Coturnix japonica: one gene and its partner. The protein of the gene in region 1 binds, or shares a complex with, the protein of each later gene. Links are inferred from orthologs where the notes say so. Each region holds a gene or a part of one and is shown on either strand. Other genes may lie near its edges.

Evidence for each region. Proteins that work in one complex are often made in the same cells at the same time.
Region 2: GINS2 (region 1) and MCM3 share a complex: the UniProt entries of both Homo sapiens proteins name them as parts of the CMG helicase complex. The link is inferred for Coturnix japonica from reciprocal best matches to the Homo sapiens genes GINS2 and MCM3.

What each region holds. Positions count from the first base shown.
Region 1 is NC_029526.1:15,692,270-15,698,349, reverse strand, and holds the start of GINS2 (DNA replication complex GINS protein PSF2), read right to left. Parts: upstream 3,387-6,080; 5' UTR 3,320-3,386; coding exon 3,230-3,319; intron 3,130-3,229; coding exon 3,015-3,129; intron 2,498-3,014; coding exon 2,398-2,497; intron 1,352-2,397; coding exon 1,225-1,351; intron 894-1,224; coding exon 768-893; 3' UTR 741-767; exon of another isoform or gene 1-740. UniProt on the Homo sapiens protein: Required for correct functioning of the GINS complex, a complex that plays an essential role in the initiation of DNA replication, and progression of DNA replication forks.
Region 2 is NC_029518.1:98,089,716-98,095,547, forward strand, and holds the start of MCM3 (DNA replication licensing factor MCM3), read left to right. Parts: upstream 1-2,322; 5' UTR 2,323-2,505; coding exon 2,506-2,586; intron 2,587-2,770; coding exon 2,771-2,883; intron 2,884-3,478; coding exon 3,479-3,687; intron 3,688-3,950; coding exon 3,951-4,081; intron 4,082-4,574; coding exon 4,575-4,813; intron 4,814-5,098; coding exon 5,099-5,207; intron 5,208-5,807; coding exon 5,808-5,832. UniProt on the Homo sapiens protein: Acts as a component of the MCM2-7 complex (MCM complex) which is the replicative helicase essential for 'once per cell cycle' DNA replication initiation and elongation in eukaryotic cells.

The sequences.
Region 1 (6,080 bases):
TCACAGCCCTCGTGGCTGCAGCTGCTGCAGCTTTGCTTCTATGCTGAGATCCACCCCCCCCCCCTTTCCTTCCCATGCCAGCCTGTAATATCAAGGTTCCATTTGCACATCCCCTTGGGCAGGAGCTGGATCAGCTTTGCCATCCCCTTTTGGGGTCCTTATCCCCCTCCCTGTCCCTCTCGGGGTCCTGCTCAACCAGCTGGTGGTCACCCAGGTGCTGGGATGTTTAATAGCACCGACCAGCCTGGCTCAGAGAGGGAAAAGCCATTTCCTTTTGTCCTTCTCCAAGGAGCAGATGGATGTGCCTCCCAGCGCTCTCCCTGCCGGCACAATCTTTCCCTGTTTGGAGGCTCTGAGTGAAGCACCGCCTTGAAATCCATTGCTTTCAAGCCAGTGTGTGGCCTGTGCTGCCCTCAGAAGTTCCCTCTATGAAGTACACCCACGCTCTGCAGGGCAGAGGGATCTGCCCGACATCATTAGCTGGATGCTGGCAAGACACCACCTGTATCCGCGAGCATCTTTGGCAGCAGCCTCTGAACCAAAGGGAGGTGAAGTGCTGCTAAGGGGAGGTGAGAGCTTCATGGAGCCCTGCAGCAGCTCCCTGCTCCCTCCCCAGGCTGTGTGGGAGCAGCAGGGGAAGCAGCTGCTGCCAAGGATGGGCTGCATGTAGATAACCCAACTCACAGGGTGCTGGGGGATGTGCACAGGGAGGTGGAGGTTGGCACAGTGGATGTACATACATGGAGGGCTGGTGTGGGCAGAAGAGCTCAGAAATCCTGGGACTCGGCGCTTCCCGAAGGCTGAAGGTTGGTCCGGAGTTTGTACATGTGATCCAAGGCTTGAGTAAGGAAAGTCCCAATGGTGTTGATCTCCATCAGCGTCAGGTTGTCCAGCTGGAAGAGAAAGCAGAGCCGTGTTGAAGGGAAGGCGAGGAGCCTGGCAGCATGATGACACCCAGAGGGACCAGCTAATAGAAGCCTACGACCAACCCAAGCTCTGTTCTCCCAATGCTGCTCCCCTGGGAGCCACCAGCAGCCCATCAAAAGAGGTTTCAACACGTGGCTTTAGCACCTGACATTGCCCAGTGCTCCCACATGCAGCTCTCATCAGCCTCCAACCCACCCACAGCAGCTGGGCTCCCCCCAGTGAAGCTGCCTGAGCTTTGCCCCCATCCCATCCCATCCCATCCCATCCCATCCCCATCCCCATCCCCATCCCATTAACCTTGGCATGGGCCTCCTGCTGCCTCACGAAGCTGTCTGCAGACAGCCTTAGTTTGGCCATCCGTGTGTCCCACGTGTCCTTCACCAGCGTCCGGATCTCGTCTGCTTTGGGGATGTTGTCAGAGGCGCTGGAGGAGAGAGAGGATCAGAACAGACTCGTATGTTATGTCAGTGGTGTAAGTAATGTTGGCAGCTCTTCAGCCCTCTGAGGCAGAAGCGGAGCAGTTTGCTGTATTAACCCCCCCCCCCCCTCCTCTCCTGCGACTTGATGTTAAAATCCATCCTGGTGCTTACAGGGCTGGGATTTTCAGGGTGGTTTATTTACCCAGGAATCCTCAGCTCCAATGCAATGTCTGCTTCTCACTTCAGTCCTTCTGCTCTGTAATTGCCCAGCTGGTACCAGGTACGAGCAGGGCCAATAACCGGCCCAGAACCACACACAGGAGGGGAACTGGAAGGACTAGAAGCACTGTCTGTGCTCTCGTGGTTCTATCAGGGTGTATTAAATTGAAGGGACTTGACGAGTCGTGCCGCATCCTCCCATTAAGGCAATTCAGTGCTGCCATAAGGACCTCGAGAGATGAGATCAATTCACACGGACAGAGCTGTCAGGGTTATTCTAGCGTGAGCCAAGAGCGTCGTCTCCAGAGGAGAAGCCAGTGCTTAAACGACCACCCCACTGTAATCAAGGGCTTCAAGTCAGGAGAGCCTGAGCTTAGAAAAATACCAGCCAGCACATTTTACAAGTGAAATGCCACAGCAGGCACGAGGTTAGACGAGGAATAACCCCGCTCTCTTGCTTCTCAAGCAGAGGAAAGAGGAGCTTTCCTCCTGAAGGAGAGCCAAGGAAGAAGCCTGGAGGGTTCAGGCTGCCGAACAGATTGCAGCCATGGAATGTGCTGTCTATAGTCCAGGCCTCTCCGCTCAGCTGCTGCTCAATAAAGCGGCACAGCCCCAATTATCAGGGCACGGAACAAGCCATCCCCAGTTACTGCAATGCAAAGTTACCATGAGAAAACGGCTGCGGTGAGAGATCTTGGCACGTTGTGAAATAAACCCCCATTAACTCTCCCTTTCCCACAGCCCTCTGGGGTTGCAGCCAAAAAAGCTGGATAAATTATCTATGCAAGCAACGTAGTCGGGTGGAAACTGTTCCGATGCATTTCCCACTTACTAGTTTAAGAGCAGCTTGGTGAGCTCCATGTAATAGGGGCTGGGCATCGGAGTGAAGGTGTCTTCTTTGCGTTCTTGGTCCCGGATTTCCTCCAGCTTTTCTATAACACAGATAGGGATGTCAGATGGTGGCAGACCCCCAGCTCCTGACCCACCTCTTCCAAATCTCTGACTCAAGCTGGTTTAAACATGGACAATATACAGCCAGGAGAAGGCTTTTATAATGAAGCCAAACACCCCTTACACCTAATGCCTGTCCTGGGCTCTAGGAGCAGCTTTGCCACAGCAGCTCTCAGCTCCCAAGGGAGGACAGATCCTCATCAGGGCCATAAAGCTGATTGATGACACTTGGCTCACCATGCTGGATCCACATCAGCTTGACCAAACCTTCAACACTTGCACTAATGAGTCACTGTGCCCTTGAATGAATAGAGCAGGACTGCTCCATTAAGGTCTTTTATCCCTCTACCAACCCCACTCCTGCCCACCAAAGGAGCAGGACTCAAACACCAGATTCAATTGGGAATCACTTCAATTAAGCTCCCCATTAATGGAGATAACCAGAGAGCTTCCCATGCGCCTTCTATACCCTCAGAACCTGCCGTCCTGTGTCCTTACCCACATCCATCCACTCTGGTGGGATCAGGCGACATTTCTGCCTCTGTTTCAGATTGATGGCCAACCAGACCGGCACTTCTACAGGCAAACCGGGGTTGAAAGGGCCCAGATCCCCCTGCAAAATCAATTAGAGATGAGAATAAAGGCACCCCCTTGTCCCCACACCCCCCATATCCCCTCAGCCCCCCCCCATTGCCGTTCTCCCCCCCTCTGACCCCGATCAGGTGCACTGTGTCCATGCTGAAGCTGGGTACGATGGTCACCAGCTCCTTCTCGGCCATAAACTCCGCTTCTGCCGGCTCCATTTTAATGGACCTTTAATAGGGTCCGGAACCGGCGCGCGCCCGCCAAACGCCCACGCTTCCTATTGGCTGCCGACCGACTAAGCCCCGCCCACACCACCCTGCTTCCCGCCATCTGGCTCGTTTTCGCGCCCTCCGCGTGTGGGCGGGACTCGGAGCAGCTCGGAGCGAGCTGATTGGTTGTTTCATTCACCCGTGGGTTTCTATTGGTTAACATACGGGGAGGTCCGTGTCGCTCGCCGTGCGACCAATCCCGATGCCTCCTGGGGTAGCGACCAATCAGAGTTCAGCACTTGTTGCCGGGGCGCCTCGGGGCGCTCCATGTGGTCACGGCGCTCGGAGGTGCTGCCCCCTGGCGGCCGGGAGGAGCAGTGCACCCAGCTCCGGCCTCACTATGGGCAGTAGGTCTGTCTGTCTGTCTGTCTGTCTGTCTGTCCATGGGCAGCCAGTCGTGCTCGTGAGCCAGCCATGGTCCGGCTGCTTGTTGCTTCGATTCATCAGCCAACACAGGCTCCTACTTACCATCCATCTGTCCATCCATCCGTCTGTCCATCCATCCATCCATCCATCCATCCATCCATCCATCCCCCCTTCACCTACCCACATGTCCATCCATCCACCCACTTGTTCATCCATCCGTCTGTCCATCCATCCATCCATTTGTCCATCCCCCCCTTCATCTACCCACATATCTACCCCTCCATCTATACATCCATGCACCCACTCAACCACCCACCCCCCCATCCATCCATCCTCCTACCCCCCCATCCATCCTTCCACTCATCCATCAGCCCATCCATCCATCTGTCCATCCATCTGTCCACTTGTCCATCCATCCATCCATTCCCCCTTCACCTACCCACCTGCCTGTCCATCCATCTATACATCCATGCTTCCAACCATACACCCACTCAACCACCCACACGTCTATCTATCCTACCCACCCATCCATCCCTCCACTCATCCATCAGCCCATCCATCCATCCATCCATCCATCCATCCATCCATCCATCCATCCATCCATCCATTCCTCCTTCACCTACTCACATGTCCGTCCATCCATCCATTTGTCCATCCATCCATCCATCCATCCATCCATCCATCCATCCATCCATCCATCCATCCATCCATCCATCCATCCACTCCCCCCTTCATCTACCCCCATGTCTGTCCATCCATCTATACATCCCTGCTTCCATCCATGCACCCACTCAACCACCCACCCCCCCATCCATCCCTCATCCCAATGAGCCCAAAGGCTCATTGCCCCCCACCAGCCCCCATTGGGTTGGGTAGGTCTGGGGGCTTCAGGAGTGGATCCCCCATCCATTCCCACCCCCGTGGTGCCACCAGCACACGCTGCAGCTCCGCCAGGCACTTTTATAAATGGCTCTGACATGGTGTGAATACACTTTTGTGTCTTTTGCCATCTGCTGCTGTCATTAAAAAATGAAGTTTCCATCTGCTTTTGCACGCCGTCCTCTCCCGGGGCTCTCCAATGAAGCTGCACATTGGGAAGCATCACCCCCAGCAGGGCAGGATCCAGCCCTGGGGTTGTATTGAAGCTCTTGGTGTCCCCTATGGGTGCTCAGCACTGGCTGCAGGGCGGTGACGTGCCTCCTGTTGCCCTCCATGTGTCCCTACACAACATGGTCCCTGTGGGTGTGGGTGGTGTGACGATGATGGAGGGCACGTGGAGGTGTTTCCCATCCTGTTCTGGGGTCCCGCTGCTGCCATTCCCGCTGCTCACACACATCTTCAACCCTATAGGAAGAAAGGAAAGCTGGTGAGCGGGGAGGGTACATCGATGCAATGCTCTGCTCAACCCTATACGAGCCACTGGAGAATCCCCAGAGCCCCACGATAACACAACAGAACCTTCTTCATCCCCACTGTGCTTGTTGGGGTGCTATAGCCCCCAGCTGCCCACCCTCCTGCTGGGCCACATAGAGCTCTAATCTGCTGCTTTAATCAAGAGGAAAACCCAGCTCCACACACAGCGAGCGGCCGGGGAGGTTTAATTCTTCTGCAGGAGGAAAATGCCCGAAGGGGACAGACACTGATATTTTTAATCTCTTTTTAATTAAGGATTAAGCCCTGCCTTATGTAAGAGAGCCGCAGGGGGGTGTTTTAGTGCACTGCTGTCTCGGAGCCCTGCACAGGAGAAGAGTGAGAGCTGTTGGGGATACCTGGGGGCTGCACCCCTGTGGCTCTGACCCCATTCTGGGGGTGCTTCAGTGTGGGGGATGCACAGCAGCTCCCTCTTGGTGCTGAGGGCTGGGCTATGGGTGAAGCATCCCATGTCACAAAGGTCTCTATAGGACATAGAGATATATAGGACATACAGGACCTTTATAGTCTGTAGAAGGACAGTAGGTGGGGTGTTTGTGCTTGGATTGACCACAAAAGGGGATGGAGCATCCCAGATTGTCCTTGATCATCCCTGGACTGAGCAATGGATGTGCTCCTGTGTGCACAAACCCATCGCATCCCATTGGGATTGAGGGAGACCCCATTGCATCCCATTGGGATTGAGGGAGACTCCATCGTATCCCATTGGGATTGAGGGAGACCCCATCGCATCCCATTGGGATCAGGGGAGACCCCATCCCTGCAGCCCCCCCTCCCAGCGCCACGCCACAGCCCCACCCCAGTATGAGATCCCAGCCCTCTGCCAAGCGGCATTAAGAGCTAATGGGAGATGTGCTGCTCAGCATCGCGGCGCATTAAGAGCTCCCACTTCCTTTCTCTCTCTACGCCAGAG
Region 2 (5,832 bases), on another chromosome or scaffold:
TCTGCAGGGATGAGGCACCACCACCTCTCTGTGCAACCTGTGCCAGTGCCTCACCATCCTTATTATTGACAGCTTCTTCCTTATATCTTCACCTCAACTGATCCCAGCACAATGCTGCAAAACCCTCCAGGAAGGTGCATGGGTACCAAAAGCAGTGCTGGGGCTCATGAGGACAAAATGCAGGGCTCCCAGAGTTCCCCAAATGACGGAGGAGACAGACAAACACTTATGCTGACACCAGGACATCAGAAACTGAAAAACCACTTGGACATAGCCCGGATTGCACAAAGAGAGACTGCACCCTTGAGCAGAGCTAAGGGAAGAGCCCATCCAGCCTGACCTTGGCTGCCTGCAGGGACGGAGCACCACCACCTCACTGTGCAACCTGCACTTCGCTTCTCTCCTTTCCCATCTCCAACCATCCCACAGCACCCACCAACCGAGCTACACCTCCACCCTACAGCGCACAATAAAACCACCTGCAGCCTCCATGCAAAGCGAGATGCTCACGTAGGAAAAACCCAACACCCACCCACAGCAAACAGCCCCAGGGGAGCAAAACCCCCAAACCATCACCATGGACACACAAACTGAACCCGGAGCGGTTCTCCTCGCTGTCCCCTCTCCCTGTCCCCGCAGCCGCCCGCACTCACCGCACCGCACCGCCGTGTCCCGCAGCCACCGCCTCCAGGCACCGAGCGCATGCGCTCAGCCCCGCCCCGGGCTGCCCCACCGGCCGGATCTCGGGTTGATCAGCGGCTGTTCCGTCTCCTTCTGGTCTTACAAATGCTTTGCAACCGAAGCTTTGTGGGCATCGCTTTGTTTGCTCGCCCCCTGACCTGCTACGTGCCTCCCCAGATGCTCTGATCTGTTAAGCTCGGGGTACTTTACACCCTGAAATGAATCACCCGCTTTATTCCCTCCCAGGTGTGGTTGTGTTTGCTCCGGAGATTGATCCCAACAGGTTCCGACTCAGCTGGGCAGGGTTGGGCTCTCCCTGCCTGTCCCCCACCCCAAAAACAGGGGTAAAATGGATGAGAATTGCCTATTATAGGGGTAGGGGGGATGTGTTGGAAGGGCCCCTTTAAGGCCATCAGTCCCACTGCACAGGGACACCCACAGCTCCAGCAGTGCTCACAGCCCATCCAGCCTGACCTTGGCTGTGTGCAGGGATGGGGCACCACCCCTGGGCTGCTGGTTGGTGACCCTACACACAGCATTGGGTTAAAACCAGATGGTGATTGTGGTCCTTTCCAACCCAGGCCATCGTATGGCTGGGTCCTGTGACTGAGGGGTCACTCATGGTAAGTGGGATCCCATCCCTAATGGGTGCAGATCAGCAGTGCTTTGTATGCAGATGGGTGATAGCCAGGCTCGTAGCAGGGGAGAAAACCAGGAATAAAAGGAGCCAGCTGTCACTGCCTTTAGTAACAACCAGAATTCACGATAACAGATGAGCAGACAGAAATAGCAACGCGAAACCTCCAGCCATCTATATTTGGGCTATTCAGACCTCCTTGGAAACACAGTATTATTCATTGCTTTATTTTGCTTTCGCATGACAGGAGAAGGGAGCGACTCAGCATCATGTTGGCACTGGGGGAGCTGAGCATCGGGTGCAGGACCATAGGAAGACACTGCAGCCCTTGCTCTACATGCATTCAGGTGCCTGATTCCTGTTTAATGTTACCCCTGTAAGGTCCCCATAGGAAGAGCTGCCTCCATCCTCGGCCTTCCCCGACCTGTAGCAATGAATTATTCACTCGGCGTTCTCCGTGCCGAGGCTGTTGCTATAGGGCAGGCTCATGAATAACAACAGGCGCTTATTTTTAGCCCTAACTCGTTACCGTGCTGCTGCCCTTGGTTCACAGCCATACCTTCAGCGGGACGAACCCCGCAACGCCGCTATGGGCTGGGGCTCCCTTTGGATTTACACACAGCACTTCCTTCCCAGTTTATGGGATGGCATATATGGCCACCTACGTTCTCCTTGCTAAGATCCCCTTAGAAAAGACATCCGTTACCCCATAGGGAGTCTCCGCTTTGCTATCTGCAGCTACAAGGTGGGGGGGGGGAGGGCAGGGGAGATGCTTGAACCTGGAACGGGGTGTTACCCCAGTGATAATAAGGAATCAGCAATAAATACACTAATTTAGATCCTCATCCCGCTGCTGACACCCAAAGCTCAGCCGGGACCCCAGACCCCAAACGCCCCATTCCCGCCCCCGCCCCGCCTCCTCCGCTCCCATTGGCTGCCGCTGCTGCGCGTCAACTCCCGCCACTTCCCCTTTGCCTCCCATTGGCTGACGCCCGGCGGCGCCGCCCAATGAGGAGCGGAACTCCCCCCGCCGTGGCGGGAAAGCGCTCGGTTTTGGCGCCAAAGAGAAGCGTGGAGGTTGCTGTGATCCGGGCCGGCGTTTGGGGTCTGCTGGGGATCTATAGGATCTATAGGACCCTTTAAAGAGCAACCCGGTCCTTACCTGTTTACTACCCCCTCCCTGCAGCATGGCAGCCCCAGCGGACGGGCTGGACGATGCGGAGCTGCGGGAAGCGCAGCGCGATTACCTGGATTTCCTGGACGATGAGGTGAGCAGCGGCGTGTATTGCGGGATGCAGCCTCCCCTTATAACCGGGGGTGGTCATCGCTTCCCCCCCAAACCCCCCAACAGGAGCCATGGCGCTGGGGCTGCTTATTCCCCAGGGAATAAATGGAAATGGCTTTACACGGCTCATGTGAAACTGAGGGTTGTGTTGTTACCTATGTGTGCAGGAAGATCAAGGAGTTTACCACGGCAAAGTGCGCGACATGATCAGCGACAACCAGTACCGCCTCCTGGTCAACATCAACGACCTGCGGAGGAGGAACGAGAAAAGAGCCAGCCGGTACGGGGGGGGGGGGGGGGGGGTGCTGTTGTGCCAGCCAGCCAGCCCTTACGAGCTTGCAGCCCATTGATAGAGCAAATCCTGTTTGTTTGAATCCTTACAGTAAAATTCGGGTGTTTGCATGGTGTGAGGCGTCTCAGCTTTAGGGTTCTGGGGTCTTTTTGCAAGAGACTTGCAAATGGTTTAAGTACAAGTTGAGATGTGACAGCTGCGAGTTGGAGGTCTGGGTTGGATATTAGGAACAATCTCTTGTCATGAGGAGCAGTGATGCAGTGGCACAGCTGCCCAGGGAGGTGGTTATGGAGCACCCCCATGGATGGTGACCCCACCATGGGGATGTGGCACTGAAGGACACAGTGGGCACAGGGGGGTTGGGCTGGGTGACTGTAGAGGTATTTCCAACCTTAATGATCCCCTGTTAGGTGTTTCAGATGTAATTGGGTTTGTTCACCTTCAGGCTCTTGGTCTCCATGAGCTGTGGGATTCTCAGTGTTCTTTCAGAGCACACCGAGGCATCTGGAAGGGATTTCTTAGAGCTGCCAAACAGGGTTGCCAACAAGATGCAGCTCTCAGCCATCACCTCCCTCTGTTGCAGGCTTTTGAGCAATGCCTTTGAGGAGCTCATCGCCTTCCAGCGTGCTCTGAAGGACTTTGTTGCCTCTGTTGATGCCACCTATGCCAAGCAGTATGAGGACTTCTACATTGGGCTGGAGGGCAGCTTTGGTTCCAAGCACGTCTCACCACGGACGCTGACCGCCTGCTTCCTGAGCTGCATTGTTTGTGTGGAGGGCATCGTGACAAAGTGTGAGCCTGGGGGCAGGTTGGGATGCTGGGTGGTGTGAGGAGCAGAGGGTCGGGGTGTTTGGTACAGCAGGAGTCCTCCAGAACCAATGGGAGGACAAGTGGAGTGATGGTAACAGTGGACTTGAATGTTGGGAGCTGCAGTCCTTGGCACTCTGGTTATCAGCACTTTTGTCCTGTGCATATAGTGGATATCTTTTTGGGGTTTCATGGTGACAAACAAGTGGGACTTTTCTGCCCCTAACTCTTCTTTCTTCCAAACCCAGGCTCTCTGATTCGTCCCAAGGTTGTCCGGAGCGTCCATTATTGCCCAGCTACCAAGAAGACCATTGAGCGCCGATACACAGACCTGACATCCCTGGATGCTTTCCCTTCCAGCTCTGTTTACCCTACAAAGGTGAGGTGAAGCGGCCTCATATGGGGAATATCTGCATGTTCCTCTGGGGAGAATATGCTGGCTCAGCAGGCAACATGATCAGCTGTTGGTTGGCATGCTTGTATGTGGCAAGGGGATTGAAACTAGATTGTCTTTAGGGTTTCTTCCAATGCAAACCATTCCAGCATCCCATGGTTGCTGTCTGGAGGGTATGTGGACCATTGTGTGCAGGGATTGCCCTGTGCTTGGGAATGGAGGAAGCTTGACCTAAGCTATGTCTGTTGAACGTGCATTCTTTTGCATGGCCTGCCTGCATTGGGAGCAGTGCTTGGAGGGTTCTAATGTGGCAGTGCTTGATGCTGGCAGCATTAGATCAGGGGGAGCTGTATTGCTGGTGAACTGCAGGATCTGGTAGTCCAGGTAAAGCAGCCCTTTGCAGTGCTCATGTGTGTGTTGGGTGATGCTCTCTTCCCAGTGCTGCTAATCTCTTTATTGCTGTGCCTTCTTCCTTAAGGATGAGGAGAATAACCCCCTGGAGACAGAGTTTGGCCTCTCAGTCTACAAGGACCATCAGACCATCTCCATCCAGGAGATGCCTGAGAAGGCACCAGCAGGGCAGCTGCCACGCTCGGTGGATGTCATTCTGGATGATGATCTGGTGGACAAAGTGAAGCCTGGAGATCGCATTCAAGTGGTTGGGACTTATCGTTGCCTGCCAGGAAAGAAAGGAGGTTACACATCAGGGACGTTCAGGTGAGCCTTCTGCTGGCTTCAAGGACAACATCAGCCTTGACACCCCTTTTTAGCAGGGTCCCATCCCTCTAAGATGAAACATAGGGCAGGTTGGATGGGGCTGTGAGCAACCTGGTCTCGAGGGAGGTGCCCCTGCATATAGCAGGAGGTTGAAACTGGGTGATCTTAAAGATCCCTTCCAACACAAACCATTCTATGGTTCTATGAAACTTCTGCTGTTGTTATGATGACCCTGAAAGCTCTATGAGCTTCACAAACATCATTGTAGCTGTGTCGCTATTCCAGGACTATCCTCATTGCCTGCCATATCAAGCAGATGAGCAAAGATTCTCGGCCTCTCTACTCTGCGACTGACGTGGCCAAGATCAAGAGGTTCAGTAAGAATCGCTCCAAGGTATTTATGTAGGTCTTATTTCTAAGCTCGCCTTCCATGATTTTCCTCTTGCTTTCCCTGCATTTTCTACGTAGCTTTTTGTCAATTTCTGTGATATATGTATGTATACATATGTATTACATGTAGCTGTAGCAGAGTTTCTGATGGCTCTGCTCTGTTGTGCGTAGCTGTTGAAATGGAGCTCTGTCTGGGCTGTGTGTGCCCTGACTGCTCGCTGGTTGTTAGAGAAGCTCCTCTGCAACGTTCTACTTTTCCTCCTCAAACCTAAGAACGGAATTAGATGACAGCCTGGATTTCTGAAAGGAAACAAAGCAAAATGCCAGTTCTTTTGGTTGGGGGAGGGAATGGGGGCCTGCCCCCCAGTCTGGTCCTGTGTTCAGATCTTTGTTCTTGTGGGGGTTGCTGCTTCCAGTGCTTGCGAGGTGGTCTAGGACTTCAGAGCCCCCATGGAAAGAATATTCCAACAGTATTCTCCCATCTAAATAACCTCTGTCAGTGTAGTTCTGTGATAGGAATAAGTTCCTTTTCTGGTGCTGTAATGGGCTTGTGAACTTGTTCTTCGGTCCACTTACAGGCTGTGCTTTGCCTCTTCTGCCTTAGGATATCTTTAACCAGCTGGCGAGGT